Linked DNA regions of Oryzias latipes. The protein of the gene in region 1 purifies or fractionates together with the protein of each later gene. This does not show direct contact. Links are inferred from orthologs where the notes say so. Each region holds a gene or a part of one and is shown in the gene's direction. Other genes may lie near its edges. The genes, in order: smad7, E3 ubiquitin-protein ligase Itchy, usp15 and acvr1b.

The links.
Region 2: the proteins of smad7 (region 1) and E3 ubiquitin-protein ligase Itchy purify together in Homo sapiens (affinity purification with western blotting; 4 studies listed by BioGRID and IntAct, with this or other methods). This does not show direct contact. The link is inferred for Oryzias latipes from reciprocal best matches to the Homo sapiens genes SMAD7 and ITCH.
Region 3: the proteins of smad7 (region 1) and usp15 purify together in Homo sapiens (affinity purification with western blotting; 3 studies listed by BioGRID). This does not show direct contact. The link is inferred for Oryzias latipes from reciprocal best matches to the Homo sapiens genes SMAD7 and USP15.
Region 4: the proteins of smad7 (region 1) and acvr1b purify together in Homo sapiens (affinity purification with western blotting; 3 studies listed by BioGRID and IntAct, with this or other methods). This does not show direct contact. The link is inferred for Oryzias latipes from reciprocal best matches to the Homo sapiens genes SMAD7 and ACVR1B.

The regions. Positions count from the first base shown.
Region 1 is NC_019870.2:9,759,484-9,764,583, reverse strand, and holds the start of smad7 (mothers against decapentaplegic homolog 7), read left to right. Parts: upstream 1-1,890; 5' UTR 1,891-2,842; coding exon 2,843-3,308; intron 3,309-3,982; coding exon 3,983-4,036; intron 4,037-5,100. UniProt on the Homo sapiens protein: Antagonist of signaling by TGF-beta (transforming growth factor) type 1 receptor superfamily members; has been shown to inhibit TGF-beta (Transforming growth factor) and activin signaling by associating with their receptors thus preventing SMAD2 access.
Region 2 is NC_019865.2:2,013,221-2,016,960, reverse strand, and holds part of E3 ubiquitin-protein ligase Itchy, read left to right. Parts: intron 1-25; coding exon 26-159; intron 160-1,256; coding exon 1,257-1,397; intron 1,398-1,522; coding exon 1,523-1,643; intron 1,644-1,725; coding exon 1,726-1,830; intron 1,831-1,905; coding exon 1,906-2,002; intron 2,003-2,092; coding exon 2,093-2,165; intron 2,166-3,477; coding exon 3,478-3,577; 3' UTR 3,578-3,740. UniProt on the Homo sapiens protein: Acts as an Acts as an E3 ubiquitin-protein ligase which accepts ubiquitin from an E2 ubiquitin-conjugating enzyme in the form of a thioester and then directly transfers the ubiquitin to targeted substrates.
Region 3 is NC_019881.2:6,925,823-6,930,276, forward strand, and holds part of usp15 (ubiquitin carboxyl-terminal hydrolase 15), read left to right. Parts: intron 1-78; exon of another isoform or gene 79-2,300; coding exon of another isoform or gene 2,301-2,482; intron 2,483-2,658; coding exon 2,659-2,806; intron 2,807-2,897; coding exon 2,898-3,071; intron 3,072-4,454. UniProt on the Homo sapiens protein: Hydrolase that removes conjugated ubiquitin from target proteins and regulates various pathways such as the TGF-beta receptor signaling, NF-kappa-B and RNF41/NRDP1-PRKN pathways.
Region 4 is NC_019865.2:12,257,540-12,262,560, forward strand, and holds the start of acvr1b (activin receptor type-1B), read left to right. Parts: upstream 1-1,903; 5' UTR 1,904-2,112; coding exon 2,113-2,176; intron 2,177-5,021. UniProt on the Homo sapiens protein: Transmembrane serine/threonine kinase activin type-1 receptor forming an activin receptor complex with activin receptor type-2 (ACVR2A or ACVR2B).

The DNA.
Region 1 (5,100 bases):
CTTTTACTGTTAAAAGTTGCAGACCTCTGGCCTATAGTATTTAACAATATGGTGAATGAATATTAGAAAGCAATAATGGAGCCATCCAGTTTTGAGCCAGATGCCAGCTGAGGTAAGGAAAACAAAGACTTACATGGATCTATTTGTCTACAAGCATCAGAATGGAGCGAGCAGGGAGCTTGTGGCCCTCCCATCTGCTCCTGATTCACAACGATTTGAATAAAGAAAAACTCAGAAAACCATCTTTAATCTTAATTTCATTTATAAATGCCCTCCATTATGAGAAAAAAATGCCACAAGAACATGATAAAAAATACAATGGAATGGGTCTTTAAATGAGCAGCTAAATGTTCTGCGTCTGCAGACTTTGTCTTGAAGGGTAAATAAAAACACGGGTCTCAGCTCAGAGCACAGTTTTTATTGAAAACAGCCCCGCTCCACAGCCTGCAGACAGACTCTTCAGGCAGCCCGAGATGGCAAACGGTTAGATAAAAGTGTCTACTTCCTGGAGTCTGGAGACTGGTCTCATGCAAACAAAGGGAAGGGCATGCAGATTGGTGGATAGGGGAGGGGACAGCGCACGAGAGCAGCAGCAGGCACCTCCACAGAGCCCCCCTGACAGACCCCCTTTCCCCCACCCCACCCCTGACTGATTGCTTCCAGACTCCTCCAGGAACGCGCCGCAGTCCCTCTGCTCGGTTTGGGGCTGCAGTGGCGCGCTCCTCCTCGGCGCCAGTTGGGGATCCGGGGGAACAATACGGGGGGGATAAACGACTGATACCCCCCCCCCCCCCCACACACACACATACACACACACACCCCACCTCCTCCCCCATCTTTCTCCATCTCCTCCACGCATGCACACACACCCCTCCTCAACCCCACACATCTCTGCCACCATCATTATCTGCCGCCCACCCCCATGCCCTGCAGCAACTCTGTCATATTAACATACTGCTGACTGCATCTCCTCCCCGGGACTACTGTCTGTCGAGGGAAGTCTGCAGACCAGAAACGGTTCATTTCTGTTTAAAAGAACAATTTCTCCTAAAACGTGTTAAATTTATTGGGTTTGAAGTGAGACATCACAGTGAGTGTTCCCCATCAAGCTGTATTTGTACATTTTTGGCACCAACATTGAGCTAAATTCCAGACATATATAAGTCTGTTATAATTAATATGGATTCCATGAGGGCAATGACACAGAAGGAAGGCTGGCACATGTTAAAAAGACAAGAAAAGACAAATTTGATCCTCAGCTGATGGATTGATCTGCTGGATAAATAAAGATGGGTGGGAACTCTTTGTGTGTGTAGTACCGAACATGTCCGATGGGGGGCAGCAACGAGCTCCCCCGAAGGAGTCAGCACTGTGGCTCACTTCCTAAATTCAACTCCAGCCATAAACTCTCCAAAACAATAAAACTGCCCTGTGTGATCACCATGGCAACAGTGGCGAAAAGCTATGAAGATATATTAAACTGATTCATAGCTTTAACGATGAAACACGTATTTACTGCTTATTCAGTACAAGCGTGAAATTAATGATTGAATATATATATATATATATATATATATATATATATATATATATATATATATATATATATATATATATATATATATATATATATATATATATAAACATTATTTTAGGACTGAAAGCAAACCAAAAAATCTGCAGATTTACTAAATAATTTAACTGAGAAATTTTTTTAATGTTGTTCTTTTTTCTGCAAATATTAAACTTTTGTGGCGTAAACTTTCTCATTTGTGTTTTCTAAGTGCGCGCGCGCGCTTGTGTGTGTGTGTGCACCGTGGGCTCTACTTGATCTGTTGTTTGCGCAACACAATCACATTTCTTTTAAGCGACAGGGTGTCTAGACACACACGTGACCGGGCGCGTCAATGCGCACTGGAGACTGGAGACGGAGCAAGGGCACCCAAACCATCCGCCTCATTTACAGACAGAGAGCCCTTTAGCCCGGACCAGATCAGCTGTCTGCTCGCTTTCCTCCACGCTCAGCCACGGAAACTCCGTGAGAGATACGATTTTGGATTATTTTATCTGGAGGGATTGCTAAAAGCAGGCTCGCTGCGTGGACGCAAAAAAGAAAAAGAAAAACGGAGGGTCTTGCTGTGGCTTTACAAACGCGACTCAACTCCGGTGGGAGACCTGGATTTTTTTCTCCTTGGCTCACTATTTTACCAGAAGACCTCATCCACTACATACTAAAATATACATTTAAAGGTGGGGAGCCCCAGTTCGTGCGCTCGGATGAAGGATTTTGTGGATTATGCTACTCAAGACGCGGCGGAGAGCTTCGCTTTTTCATGGGATGATTGCGCCAGCGTTGAGGCTTAATTAGGCCTTAGGTTTTTCTTATAAGTACCAGTTAGTTGTGACTTGAATAAACATTTCTGACAGCGTTTTTCCCCCCGCTGTAAACCGTCACGGCGTTTTTTTAAAGGGGTCAGTTCACAGCGCCGGATTGCACAAAACTGTAACGCATTCGGGCTTCACGCAGCTCCGCTGCTGCAGGTTTCCTGCTCCGGTTTGGTGTTTCTAAGCTCATAGATGTGATCTTTTTTTTTTTTTGTATTCTGATCGTGGAAACGTTGGCTGTCCCGCCAACCTCGAGCGCTTTCTGGTGACCTTTCTGCAGGAAAAACAGCTTCAGAGACTGGCGCATGCTATAGATTTCCTCTGCTTCTCCAGCTCCCAGTTTTTCCACCGTTTTCTCTCAGGCTGCTTGTCATTGCCTGGACTCGGATCCCGGAATCTTCATGATTTGCGGACACCATGCTCGTTTTTTAGCCGGGAAACCCTCTTTTCGTCCCGCATGTTTAGGACCAAACGATCGGGGCTCGTCCGGCGACTCTGGAGGAGCCGTGCGCCCGTGGAGGGCGACGGGGAGACGGATAGAGGGACGCATGGCTCCGGGGGCTGCTGCATGGGCAAAGCGACAAAAGTGGCCAAGTCCAACGCGGGGTCGGAGGCCGAATTGAAGGCGTTGACCCACTCGGTACTGAAAAAGATCAAAGAAAAACAATTAGAGGTGCTTTTGCAGGCGGTGGAGTCCAAGGGGGGCGTCCGGAGCCCCTGCCTTCTCCTGCCCAGCAAAGTGGACGCCAAAGTGGGTCAACAGTCTTACTCCCTCCCCATGCTGCTCTACAAAGTGTTCAGGTGGCCGGACCTCAGGCATTCCTCGGAGCTGAAGAGGCTGTCGTGCTGTGAATCTTACGGGAAAGCCAACCCCGAGCTCGTTTGCTGCAACCCTCACCACATGAGCAGGCTCTGTGAACTCGGTGAGCTTCAATATTTTCACTAAAAAAAACTCCAAAAAAATGAGGTCCTAGGTGGAGAGAAGGCTGAAAAAGACTGTGCCAATTAACCTAATTCTAATGACAACACCTCTCTGGCACAGTGGTCTTCAGGTTCCATTGATCTGAAGCTGTGCCAGATCCTTTTAGCAGGTTTGGTGGTCGAGTTTGAATAGAAACCTACTTTAATTAATTGTTCCATTTGATTTTTTTTTTCCAAAACTCAAATCCTCCTCAGCTATACGCATTGTCGCGGTTTCAGATTTCCAAACACCCCTGTTAAGAATTTCAACATTTCATAATTGGCATCCAAAGTACAGAAAGACTCTCCAGTCTTGAAATGTGTGTGTTTATGTGTGTGTGTGCTTGCTTGGCGTCCCGGGCCAAAAGAGGCCCGTATCTCAGTTTGTCCTAGACGCTGATAGTGGCCCTTCTGGCGCCAGGCGGCCCCCTGTTTATCTGCCTGCCAATGAAAGGCAATAGCCGCCCGGCCAGCCTCACTGCCTGCTTCTCCAGGCGGAGCTGACAGGCACAAATCAGCCCTCCCCTGAAGAATGACAACTCTTATCAGAAAGTTCAGATCTCTCCTTTGTGTTTTTTTTCTTCCTCTTCTTTTCTCATGCAGTTTTTTTTCTTTCCCCCCCTCCTCCTCCACACAGAGTCTCCTCCTCCTCCTTATTCGCGATATCCCATGGACTATTTGAAACCACCAGGTGAGCTTGATGCATCATTTCACATGGATATTTCCTAAGTCATTGCTTTTTGTTTGTTTGTTTGTGCAATAATATGCATGTTTGAAGTGATGTCATGAGCTGCACTTCACGTTGGTGTCCTCTGCAGGAAATGGTGTTGTGATTTATGGGGAGTTGTGTGTGTGTGGGGGGGGGGCAGAGTGACACGCCTGGCTGGCTGGCCAATTCTAATGTGGCTAGCAGCCAGGGCAAGGCAATACGAAGTTGAGATACCAGCTATGGACTGACTGGCATGTCACCAGGGCTTGTGTGCATGTCTGAGTTGGGGGTGGGGTTGGGGGGGTGGTCTGTCCATCTATCTATTGTGAACCACAGTGCTGAGAGAGACAGACAACAGAGTCTGGAGCCAGTCAGCCTTTATCAGATGGAATGATCAGTAGATTAAGAGTGGGGTTTGCGGTGTGTGTTTGGGAGGGAGGGGGGTCTTTTCTCCACTCAAAGTGATTGCCCCCCCCCTCCACCACCACCACCACCCAACACTTGTTTTCTGACTTGACCCGGGCCCCCGTGTGGCAGCAGGCCACAGCATCGTCATGGGTTACATCCGCTTTGAAGACCAAACCCTCGTCTTTAATTATCTCTTATTTCTGATCATCTCAGCCTCCATGGGCGCAGAAACAGCCCGGAGTTAAACAGCCAACTGTCAGCCAGCCAGTTAGTCAGAAGAAGGAGAAAGTGGCTTTCAGTGAGTGGAAACAATAGGAAGTAATTGCAGCTGCAGCTGCGGTTCTTCATAGCCCCCCTCCTTCCTCTTCGCTCTCTCTTTGTCGTCTTTTACCATGCTCTGGTAATATTCTATGCTGACAAGCAGCTCCCCAAGCCCAAAGAGACGCTGCTACCCCCAAAAAGGTCTCTGCCGGTTCCCTGGGACTTGTCACGAGAGAGCCTCTGCAAGAATTTGCTTGGAAAGTTTCCAGCGATAAAAGGAAACAAGAAGGTAAATAGGAAATGCGAGCGGGATGCAGAAAAGGAAGTGATTACACAACTCTTGGTTCCACCCTGTTTCCCTTGTCCTAGCAGTCTCG
Region 2 (3,740 bases), on another chromosome or scaffold:
ATCGAATGTCGTTTGAATCCCTCAGGCTCTCTTTCACGGGAAGTTCATCAATACGGGTTTCTCGCTGCCTTTTTACAAGCGCATTCTCAACAAGCCTTTGGCGGTCAAAGATCTGGAGTCGATTGATCCGGAGTTCTACAACTCTCTCATGTGGATTAAGTACGTAAAAACTGCCACTTTTTTATAAAGTCTTCAGTAACAAAATCATTTCTGTATTAGAGATCCTGTCATTTTTTAAATCTTTTTTTAGCTGCTTAGTGATGCCAACATTTACCAGGTTAAAACCAGATGCTTTTGTTCAGATGAGCTGGTTCTTTAGGATCTTTTACAATCTGCTTATGAAACTTTGAGATCATTCAGAGACCCCGTAATGGTACTAACTAAAATGATGGAAACCTGGAGGAGGAGGCGGCAGTCATCACTCGTTCAAGCTACGTAGTTGTCACCGCTTTAAGCAAATATAAGGCCATCAACATGGGTCTTTCTAGCATGGGCTAAAATTACATTCAATCTTTCTTTTTTCGTGAGCAATTAAGGATTAAAATATGAAAAAGTATTTATTTTCAAAAAACAAAATCTTGCCAAAGATATAATTCCCTGCCTTACTTAGACATACAAATACTCAGAGAAAAGAGATTTGATGGGACAAAGCTAAGTGCGAGTTTTTTCCATTTATTCACTCTCTTGCCAATTAAGAAAACATCAAACATCGTGATTACGGACAAGTTTTTAGCTCCAATATTAACAAAACAGACACACAGAAAAAAACATTCATCCCCGCAGTTGACAGGATTAGAAACCAAAGAAATACAGGATGCTTCTTATAAAGCGGTTTATGTTTACATTTAGTAAATACCAGTTTAAGTGACAGTTAAAGGAAAATCTATGTGACATTTTAATGTTTCCTTTGAGAAGCTGCAGATATTTTACAGAGAATGAAGATAAACTTTACCCCTGGAAGTGAAGGGAAACTGGAGACTGAAAACAAAAATCAGACGCCCACTTCAGCCTCATACAGGCCGGTCCATTGAAATATTGTAAAATAAATAAAACCTGAAAAAGGTTGGGGACCACTGATTTACAGGATCTGGCTTTTTCACCTGGGAATCAAAGGGAAATCAGCCGCCAGTGGTCGTTTGAGGAACTGCAACACTTTAAGGTTCTAGGTCAGAGGTGGCCATCCCTGGTCTTCCTAACCCTGGAGGTCAAAGGGGTTTTCTTGGTTCTAGAGCTGTAAATTTCTCTTTGGTGTTTAGGGACAACAACATCGAGGAGTGCTGCTTAGAGATGTTCTTCTCTGTGGACAAAGAGATTCTTGGAGAAATCACCACCCATGAGCTCAAGCCAGGAGGAGGAGACATCCAAGTCACAGAGGAGAACAAAGAGGAGTACATCCGGTGAGTTTTTCCCCCTTTAGGACTTGAACATTTATTTTTAGTCATTTTTTTCTGAGTTTCTGCTGTTTGAATAATAAATAAAAGCAGACATTTCAGTGTTTGCTTGTTTGGAAATCCTCCTCCAGGCTGGTAGCAGAGTGGCGACTGTCCAGAGGTGTGGAGGAGCAAACACAAGCTTTTTTTGAGGGCTTCAACGAGGTCCTCCCTCAGCAGTATCTACAGTACTTTGATGCCAAAGAACTTGAGGTGTGATTGCTGCTCAGGAACGATCAGTACGTCAGAAAGCAGTTTGGTGAGTCACTTTTAATTTGCTGCTTTCCCTCCACAGGTGATGCTGTGTGGCATGCAGGACATCGACCTTGCAGACTGGCAGAGAAACACCATCTACAGGCACTACGCTCGGAACAGCAAACAGATCCTCTGGTTCTGGCAGGTCGGTGTCAAACCCTTTCGGGAGGATGAGGTTTGCTCTTCCTCTGTGTGGATTTACAAGGTTTTCCCCCTGCAGCTTGTGAAGGAGATGGACAACGAGAAGAGGATGAGACTGCTGCAGTTTGTCACCGGCACCTGTCGTCTGCCCGTCGGAGGCTTCGCCGACCTTATGGGTAAAAAAAACAGCAACACATTTTTGGGGTTTGCTGCCAAAACATGGTGAAATTGAATAGTCTGAGCTGAGTCACTGCTTCTTCTAACAGGAAGCAACGGGCCTCAGAAGTTTTGCATTGAGAAGGTGGGAAAAGAAAACTGGTTGCCCCGGAGTCACACATGGTGAGTTCCTGCTCACAGCAGCCAAACAGACAATACTGTAAAGCAGTGGTGGGCCGTCAGGGCCTTCAAGACCTTCTCTAAAAAATGTCTGAATCACATGTTAATTATATTTTGTCCATGCATACTCATTAAATCATTCCAAATGGTCTGTCCATTCTATTTTATTCTGTTTATGATGGTTACGCTGCTTGCAGACAGAGGTTGGAGCATTTAACCAATCGCATTTCAGCTGTTCTTTGTTGCCAGGCAGAGTCAGAGCTAAAGAGGCCTTCAATGTGAGTTCTGCAGGCCTTTCAATGCAAAATCAATGTTGGTCATCCATTTCCTTCAACCAGTCAGATTCTGAGTTGGCGTCTGCAGGGCCTTCTAGCTGGCTTAGGCAGTGTCACAGTATTCAGACCTTCTGATTGGACAGAAGTTTGATGAAGTCACACACAGCCATGTCCAGTTTGACACAGAGCCACGGAGAACTTTTTGATCCGTCTCTGTTAAAACAGAGCTGACTGTAATGTATCCATGGAGGATTTAACAGGAAAATCTCACACTGATCTCCTAGACTCCCTTCATCAGAAAAATCTGAGTGAATCATGAAGCAGCTGAACAGATTTGTGTGTTTGGCGCCGACCATCCCTGTGTAATATTCCATATTTTTGTGGTTCTTTTCAATGCTTTTTGCTGGCTGTAGTGGCATAACGACATTTGTTTACAGTTTAGTTTATTCCGTTTATTTAGAGGCATTTCTTGTGGCTACAGGAGTTTTCAATATGTAATGCAAACCTCGTTTCTGCATCGTAAAAGGGTTCATGAGCGGTTGAGGGATTCAGACGCAGCACTACTGAAGGCCCGGGTGTGCAATGCACGGTCTGCCACTGCTGTGAAGGGAAAGAAAGAGATTCCAGGTTTTAATGATCAGCTTTTATATTCGGTCTTTTAGAGGAAACGCTTTTTATTTTTTTTGCAGTAATGCATTGTAGAGAAAATGTGCAGATGTACAGTCAACTCTTTTCAGCGATGAGGCTGAAAACATTTGTCAAAGGAGAGCCTGCAGGTGTGAATTTGATGCATGAATTGCATTTGGAGCTCTTGCAATCCTTCAGAGTTTGACTGCAAACTGCAAAAACAATAAATCACACTAGCAATATTGAGACAAGACTTGGCTGGTACAAAAAGGAATTTAATTAAGACCTTGAAATGGAGGAGTCGATGAACTCCGCATGACCTCAGATCACAACCTGGTTTGTCAGAAGTTGACATTTTCCCCCTACAGCCAAATAAAACCGGTCCCAAGAACTCATTTATGTTGTTTCCTCAGCTTCAACAGACTGGACCTGCCGCCCTACAAGAGCTACGAGCAGCTGAAGGAGAAGGTGATGTTCGCCATCGAGGAGACGGAAGGCTTCGGCCAGGAGTGAAGGACGCTTAAGGCTTGGCCGCAGGAGTCTGCAAAGACAAACGCAGCACCGTTCGCATCAGGGAGCCTCTTCAGAAAGAGCCGGTGTAAAATGTCCTTTCTGATTCTGCAGAGCGGCTCCAGTCTCTGAGAATGCTCGAGATCCCCAAACTTCACCTTCCATG
Region 3 (4,454 bases), on another chromosome or scaffold:
GTCCCAGTCTGATGAAATGGTACTTTTGATGTTTTCTTTTAACATGTTCTTGGGACATTTTTCTGATGATAGAGGACAAAATTAAGCTCAAGATTTCATTTTTGAGTATTTCCTTATTCAAATTGTGAATCAGACAAAAATGTCCAGTAAATGTGAAATATATTTAACAAAAACCTTTTATAAAAATCTTTTTTGCGAGTTTCCTGAATTCAAAGTGCAACGAAATATTTACAAATAGTAAAAAAATGCATGTAAATCAACACAACGCAGGTTTTGTGAGCTGCTGCTGGCGTGAGCTTCTCACAGAGAGCTGCTGGGATTTTGTCGTCACACCGCGCTCGGAAACTCGCTTACATGTGCGTTTCAAGCTTCTGCGTTACGACCCTTTTGGGGCTGTACATACAATACGCAGCTATTGGACGCACGTTACCAGCTAATCCAGGTCAAACTTTGACCAATCAGCGACTCAAATTTGATAGAAACTGGCCGAATTCCGCAGTTTCATCTGGTCAGCTCAGACACGGAGACGAGCCTGACGACGTCTGCGTCTGTTTTTCAAATAAACTCTCCTGATTTATTCATAACCTAATCCACCATTGCCAGGGCGCCGTAGATGAACCGAACAGTTTTCCGTGTCGCACCCAACATGCAATGATTTGCACCGCTTTGATATTTTGCACCATCCTCTTCCAACTGTAGGTGGCGGACATGTGCTAGTAAAGAGTTAAAAAAAAGAGGAAGAAGCCCCTCCCTGCTTGTCCAGTGTAAACACTTTGGGCTAAACGAGCGTTCAAGAATGCACGTTAAATGCCAGATGTGTACGGAGCTAAACAGATTTTGGAGCGTGGGATTTGTTGCTCCAAGTCTAGGGGGGCAAAGCCAAACTAGAAAAGTTTCCTCCTTCAGGAACAAGCTCCTCTTTGCTAGTTTCCATTTGAACGTCTGCACGTTGCGAGATGCGGACAGGCTGACCGTAGTCCGAACAATGGAAGCCCAGGAATCCAAAGATGAATTCTAATTAATTCATGATTTGTATTGTTTTTTGGAGGTAGATTGTAAATGGGCGTGGCTCCGGCATGCAGCTCCACCTCAACCTCAGCGTCCTCTGGGACGCCGGCTCACTCGTCTGTCTTTTCCTGGAAGCGTTTGCTTCCTGTCAGTCGGCCGTGTGACGGACGGCGCTGCTTGGCTGTCGTAGAAGCCGTTCCACTTCACTCTTCCTTCCAACCTGTGTGTGTGCTTGGGTTTTAGTGCACGTTTGTGCGCCTGTGTGTGTGACATCGACTCGTTTCTGCGCACACAACTAGAATGCAGAAAGAAAATCTGTAGAAATCCACGAGTGAACTTCCTGTTCTGTCAGTTTTCTCCTAAGGAATAACCCAGTTCTCCTGAAATGTGTTTATTTTGGAGTCGTGTAGTTGTTTAAAAAAAAAAAAAAAAGCGTAACAAGAGGGGGTTATGGGTAAAATGAGCAACTCTTCCTTCATTCATTAATGGCAGTGCTATTAATTATGCATGGGGGCTGGTTTTCTCCTTCTCTCCTGCTTTGCTCCCTCCTTCATTGGAAGCGTTCCCGTATTGGATAACCGATTTTAGCCGAAGCAGCGATGCTCCCATGATTCTCAGCTCTTTTTCTCCTTCCTCCACTCTCCCCTTTATGTCCTACCCCCCCCTTACCCCGAGCTTATTGCACCCGTTCTGCGGTCCTGAGTGACCTTCAGGGCTCATTTCATCCACCGAATCGTTCAGGGAATCCGTGATTTTCAGGTTTTGATATGTGAGGGGCTGAAGGCGTCAGGAGAGCGAGGATTTTTTAAAAATTATTATTTTACATTTGTTCTGTAAGGGCGTGGTGAGAAAGCGTCAGGACACTTGTGCAAGAAAATGACTTTGAGGGAGAGCGCCGAGTCAGACGGGTGAATACTGCAGCCTCAGCTGGATGCAGGCTGCTCCCCCCCTCCTTCTCTGTGCGCACCTCCAGTCTTGAGCATCCTCATCGCTGCTATAAATATCCGCAGGCTTGAGTGGAAAGCAGCAGACGGGCCGCAGGGAGGAGCAGAGGACAGAGGGAGGGGATTTGGCGAGGAGACGGCAAGCTCACAACAATTACCGAGGGGAGGACATCCAGAAGTTTTTTTTTTTTATATATATAGAGATTTTTTGGACTTCAAAAGGCCTCCATGACATCCATCCCGGTTAGATTCCCGCTGGAGCCGCGCCCTTACATGCGCCTCCCGCTCAGCCCGGGCCGCTGACATGCGGGCCGGTGTGGGCCGGGCCCGGGGCGGAGCTGGGATGTCATGCTCCTCTGCTGCTGGTGGTGCCTGCGGCCTGAGGCGGTGGAGCTGGACTCCCGGAGGGTGGAGCACCACGTGCTGAGCTGCGAGGCGCCCGCCTCCACCATCGCGGCCGTGTCCTTCGAGCGCTGGGACGCGCAGGCGGGCGGCGGCGCTCTGCCTCAGAGGTCCGCTACTTGCTGCAGGTGGAAAGAGCCCCCAGATTCTTTCCGGAAAACTCAGTTTGTTTTTTTGTCTGGGGAGGGGTCTGCTGTTGGTTTAGTCCTAAAGGCTATCAAATGTTTGTCCTGAAGTCAGTGTTTGTAGATGCTACATTAAAAATTCAGTCTAATGCGATGCTTTTTCTGCATTTGTGGTGCAGTGTGAAGAATTCCAGCTACAGTCTGCCGTCCTACCACCCCTACACCAACAGCTACGACTACTCCGACCAGAGCAGACCCAGCGAGCGCTCAGGACTCTGTGGATTATCCAACTTAGGGAACACCTGCTTTATGAACTCTGCTGTGCAGGTGCGGTCTGGAGAACCTTCCTCAAGTCTCCTTTGTAGTTTAGAAGTGAGATGGTCGCTAATTTTGTGTGTTTTCTGCTTCTGAACGTCAGTGTTTAAGCAACACTCCTCCGCTGACGGACTACTTCCTCAAAGACAAGTACACAGACGAGTTGAATGAGGACAACCCGCTGGGAATGAAGGGGGAGATCGCCCGAGTCTACGCCGAACTCATCAAACAGCTGTGGTCGGGCAAGTACAGCTACGTCACCCCGAGACCCTTTAAGGTGATCACCAGAACCTTCTCTCCTTGTAGGGGTTAGACGACCTTTTTCAGCTTGTGGTTTAGTCATTGACTGTATATGAAAAATGAACTCCCACTCTCATGCTCCAAACAGGAAGTACCTGCTGACTCCAAAAAGCCAAAATCCTGTAGACTTCTATAAAGAAATAAACAGCTATAATGCTACGAACACGTGTGACGCGCGTTCAAGAGTGTGCGTTCTTGAACCCGTGTTTAGCCCCATGGTGTTCACACCGGAAAGGCAGGGAGGGGCATTTTTTTCTTTTTATTTTTTGACTGTTTACTGGCGCATGTCCACCACCTACAGTTGAACGAGGCTTTGTGTGAAAAGGCGTAGCGGCATAAATCTCGTGAATCTTGCTCCAGGCTTTTTCCATCACAGCTTTGTTCTTGGATATGAAAGACTTGCCGTCATAGACTTCACACCGGACACAAAACGCTGTTATTCATTTCTCCTCTATGATCAATTTTTAAACAGCTGACACTTCTGTGCATTAAAGAGGACGCCATCCATACGTCAATAGCAAATCTGAGTCCCTGATTGGTCACAGTTGGTCCTGGTTTAACCTTTGAATGCGTGTTCAATGGCTGCGTGTTTCGTACATAGTGGTGGAAAAACTGCATAGTGACCGGTGAATGCCAGACTTTTGAACACGGAAGTCCAAAATGCACGAACATAGGCTTTCAAATGCAAGTGGTCACTTGAGCGCATGTTGCGGAGAGCGATGTAATAGTAGCTTCACTCTTTTATATTTTTTAGAAGAATCCTCCTTGCTCTGCTACTTTTGTTTGTTTTTTTAAACACGTCCCTAATATTTTTTTCCCTTTACTGCGAGTCAAAAACTAAAAAAAAAAAAAAAGATGCCTAAATAACATTTGATTGACAGTCTGTGAAACCCCCTTTCAACAAGCTCACTTCTGATTGATGACGGTGGTTGCCATAGAAACGTCTTGACTTAAACCAATTTGGACCAATCAGTGCTCACTGAAAATTTCTGGCTCCAACTTGGCGACATCTGTATCGCGACTGACAATTGATTTTATGTGGTTGAAGCTGGAACTCAGTGGGTTTAATGTTAGATTAGGGCTGGGCGGTTAATTTGTTGGTCCAGACGATTTACTTTTGAGAGGCAAAGAGGAGCTACTTCCGCGAGACTGAGGAAAATAAATAAACACTAGCGCACACGCCGCATGAATCACTCCGTAACCTCCGCTAATCATCTCCGTGTAGCTTTAGTTTACGCTAAGCGGAACATGTGACCATTTTTACAGAACCCAGACAGAATTGGAGGATAGACCTGTTGGACTAACAGTAGCAACAGAACGTTTAATAAAAAGCGGTGTCGTTACACTGACACGACGATGC
Region 4 (5,021 bases), on another chromosome or scaffold:
TTTTTTTACAGCAAAGCAGTTATTTGAAAAATTGGTCTAAATGTATGTTTACCTAAACCATTAACTTCACCAGAGATATTCATTGGTAGACTGGTTTTGGGATGGGGAGGGCAGTTATTATAATAATGTGTACCACAATTAGTCTTGATTGCTAAACTCAATGTGGGCTTTTTAAAATTTCATATAAAGACTAAACTGATCATTCACAGACAAGACGTGGAAAAAATACTTAACATATCTATATTTGCAAGGGTTTTTATTTATAATTTTACATTGTATATTTTAATCTTTTTTATGATTTCTAATGGTTTGCAATGATGTCAGAGAAGAAACAGTAATTTTATTTTTCAGAAAAGGAAAAAAGGGCATTAGAAATGTATTTTTTATTCTTTTTTAAGTAATTGAGAACTTCTTGTCATTTCTTAAAATTTATGGTTTAACATTCATGAAGTTTCTGAAGAAGAAGGCGTCATTTGTGACGTCAAACTTCCTCACGCATTTGCAAAATACACCACCACAAAGGTTTACTCATTTGTTGAATCATCTGTACGGTCGTCTGCATTTTAACCGTACATTTAAGGCACTATTGGGTCAAGTTGCAATTAAAATAAAAAAACTAATGGACTTTTTGAGACTCCATATTTTATGTTGCACTAAAAAATGCATCTTCTCAGGAAACAAGGTCAAACAACAAACATTAGTTTTTACATCAAACATGTTTTGGTTTTTTTAAGCTCCAAAAAGTGCAAGAAAGAGCTTTTTTGGGCCCCTGTGCACAAGTACGTCTACAACCATTCTTTGTCTCGTTAAAAGTTAAAATGGATTGCAAATCATGAGCATGTTATAAAAAATGCCAAGAAATCCTGTAGGGACTGGAACATCAATAATTCATATCATAATTTGCAGTTGCTGATACAATTCATAGACAATATTGGTTTATTTTGAACGATCCGATACACTGACCTAAGATCTATCCAGGATATCTTTAGCCAAAATTTCAACCAGTGTGACTGAGAGATAAATACATGGATACTGAACAGTGCAGGTGAAGTTTTCCAGATTCCTTATATTTCTTGAAAGATAATCAAGTGTAAACTAAATATGTGTATAAACAAACAATTAAACAAGAATGAATGGTAAATCCATTCACATTTTAGTTTTACAAAGTTCATCCCTCTGTTGTTTTTCCACATCAAAATAATACATTATTAGAACATTCTACCACACTGTATGGTCACGTCATTGCAGAATTTAAAGTGTTTCCAACATTGGACTGTAATGACGGCTTGATCCTTTTTTTGCCGTCAACTGTGTTGTGTTGTCCGCTGTGATGAAACTTGGTCATTTTCAAGTTACAGTAAAGAAAACCTACCATGCCTCAATCCAAAAGGTATTTTCCATTATCCATGTAATTGAGTCATTTCATTTGAAAAAACATTTTGTAATGGTATAGATCGATTTGAATAACAAATTGCCTCAGACAGATTGGTCTGAGTGGATCGTAGGACTATAAATCGATTCTCCTACAGAGGTTAAAATGACAACACCCACCTCACAACAAAAAGACAGACAGTTTTCATGTCCTCTATAGACTTGCTCCTTTGAACATTTACATTTTAGGCAGTGAGTCTGTGCAATACACAAGACACTAGTAATGTAATGAATAAAATATGTTTGGAATAAATATCAGTAATGCCTCTGTCACCACAAAAAGTACTTTTGTAATGTGTTCATTGTTAAATGATTTGTTACACATAAAGAGTATAGATGTGCTGTGTTGGGCGGAGCTTCGCTGTGTTTAATGTAAACGGAAGTGTTGAGGAATTGTCTACTTTTTGTGATCAAGGCTGAAAGGAGAGCTGTTATTCATCCTGAACCTTTGGTGTTCTCCTCCTCACAGCCGTGTCCTCGCTGTCAGTGGGGGACGTGCTGCACGCAGCCCTCACCCTTTAAACTTCCTCACCCCTCCCTCTAGCGCGTCACCGGCTGGCTGGCTAGTATCTGGCGGTGTGGTGTGTGCGGTCGGACTGTGGTTGTGTTTCAGGTCTCGCCGCCTTGATAACGACATATTTCGGGCGCATTTCACCGCGTTGCGATGGGAATTCTGAAAACATGGCTCTAATACGATTGGCTGTAACGCTGCTCGCCCTGCTCGGGTCGGCGGCCGTCGGCGACGGTAAGTTTGATCCCAGCATCTCCCTGGCTTTTGTCTGTCTCGGTGTGTTTTCCTGGAGTGGGCATCGCCTGTTGTCGCTAATCGTCATGGCGCTCTGGATCGGCTTGTTGGCTAGCCCTATGGCTAGCGCCGACCTCAAAACCACGGCAAGTGTTTGGTCTGACCAAAATAAAAATGCGTGTTTTTGTGTGTTGGAATTTGTGGTGACCAAAAAAAAAAGAGGGATGAATCGCCGGTAAAGACGGAGCTAACCACAACAACAATGGTGGAGCTGCTGTGTGTTTCGAGGCGGCTGCTAACGTTTGCTAGCCAACTGTGTCTGAACTGAACAATGTTTATAAAAGTGCCGACGTTTATCAGATAAATAACCATATAAATTGTGTGTTTATATTTTTTTAAATAACATTTAAATTTTGTTTAATTCTCAGCATAGCGTTGAAGTTAAATGTTATCTCTCATAAGCTGATATTCGGTTTTTATTTACAAAACAAGCTTCTTGGTGGCTCGTGCCTGCTTATCATTGTATTGACTGGAACTCAGTGCTGTGATAGCTCGCTATAAATATTTATCATGTTTTTATTCACGTGTTTGTGAGCTCTGGTGGTTAAAGGCGCACAGAGAGGAGGCTGTGAATGGAGGTCGGCATGTATTTGGCGCTCGTAAGCTGTTTTTCATGGGTAAACACAGCCATTTGTCGTCGCCCCCCACCCCACATGCATGCAGTGAAAAGCTTGCGTAGTGGCCTCTCGGCAGAGCGCGAATGCTGGCATGGGGAGGGGGGTTGACAGCAGCCGCTCTTTCAGCCGACCCAGACACAAGTCAAAGTTGAAGTCTGGGTTCATTGTCATGGAAATTGTTCGGTGTGGTCTTTTCAGGCGCCAGTTGTGTGTCTGCGATTCCCCTGACCTGCAGGAACAGCTGATGCCTAACCTCTTGTATGACCACATGCACCCTTGCATGACCACATGCATGTTTATGTGATTTCACCTCGTTTTGATTTACGGACAGTTTGTACGGTGGCCCTTGCAGCAGTTTTCTCATGATGGATCACATAGATAGATAAAGAAAATTAAGCATATGATTGCATTTCTGAGCACTTCTTTATTCAGATCAAAGTGAATCCGGAGCAGACGAAAAAATGTAGTTAGAAAAACCCTGTAAAGACCCGTACACACCGGGACGAATATTCGCCAGGCGTTATTCGCCGCGTTTTTTGTGTTCACACCCAGGCGATTTTCGCTGACGATGAGCCGAGCGAACATGCAATTTCATTCCCTGACATTAGATGGCGCTTAATGTAAACAGAAATACTCCTGTACACAAGGTGGCGCTGCGCAACTTTACGCTTCTTAAAGTCGCTTTTCACTCAGAAGAAGAGAGCAAGTATTTACGCGCTTGTCAGAATAATACAAAAAAAACATGAATATTTCAAGCACCAGTAGCTCCAACTGGTGCTTGGTTCGGGGATATTTTAGAATATCCGTCATTATTTCTTCACGGCATATAGACGCTACTTGGCGTCTATCTTCTTCGCTGGTATGTGTGCTCAGCAAGGCAGTTTTTGTGTTTAAGCGCCCCCAAGATGTGTTTTACTGTAACTTCAGAAGCTCCAGACACGTGTGCAAAAGCGACATTCTCATTGGTGGAATAGATTTCGACGCGAGGCATCAAAAAAAAACGAACCCGAGGCGTTGTTTTTTTTTTTTTGACGCGTTGCGTTTTTTCGCATCGGTGTGCACACTCACATTGGTGCCCTTTGTTTAGTCACGAGGCGTTAAAAGTCGGCGAAAATAGCCGGCGAAATTCGTCCCGGTGTGAACAGGCCTTAACAGTGACGTAGGTGCTATGTCTTCGGGACAACAGATCCCTGCTCTGCTCCATGCCTATGTATCCAATTGCAGACAAAGAGATTCATGTACGTCTTCACTTTCCTTGGCGGAGCTGGCATCAAAACTGTACTGTTGGATAGCTCCAGTATTGCTTACTGTTTTTGTTGCAACTGTAATGTTTAGTTGGAGTTGTGAGAAGCTGTAAGCTAGCAGGAGAGCATGTAAACAAAGGGATGATGGCCGGGCTTACTCCACCTTAACAATCCTTGAAAATGACACAGGTTTATGGATTTAACCTAAAAACAGCACGATCATTATTAAGACCACTGGGAATGCTTTTAATATAGACCAAAAGTAGATCCTGGTGGGCCTTTAAAGATCACGTCAATTAAAAAGGCGAAACTAAAACACAATTAAAAAAGACAGGTTTGGGAAAACAAAAGTGATTTGTAAATATCAAAATGAAATGTTAAAAAGCGAAACAACAAAGTTGGAAAAGGTAGGTACTGTGGGACATCATTGAATGGACGATGACGTTAGAGTTTATTTTGTAATGCGTCTTTAATGTCCACATACCTATACAAGTTTGATGATTAGTATGGAGCATAGTCAGTGTCGCTTCATGCCAAATATTTTTTGATTGATATAATTGACAAATGTCATCATCTAGCTAGTGATGTCCCATAGTAACTACCTTTTCTGGTTTCTTCCTGTATTTTGTTTTTTTAGCATTTCATTTTATTTTTTAAATTATTTTTGTGTTCCAAATTGTACCGTTATTATTATTTTTAAATTTTGTTAAGATTTCTATAATGTAATGTTGTTTTTGTTTAAAATGTTTTGACTTTGAGTGATTTGTTGGTGTGATTTGCATGTTGGGGCTCCTGTGGGTTGGAAACGGGGAGTGTGGTGGAGGCTATAGAAACCCCGGTCTGCTAATATTGTCATCTCAATTTGTTGACTTGCTTCAACTTGCCTCAGATAGACTTGCTTTAAAAAACCTCAACTGTCAAGTG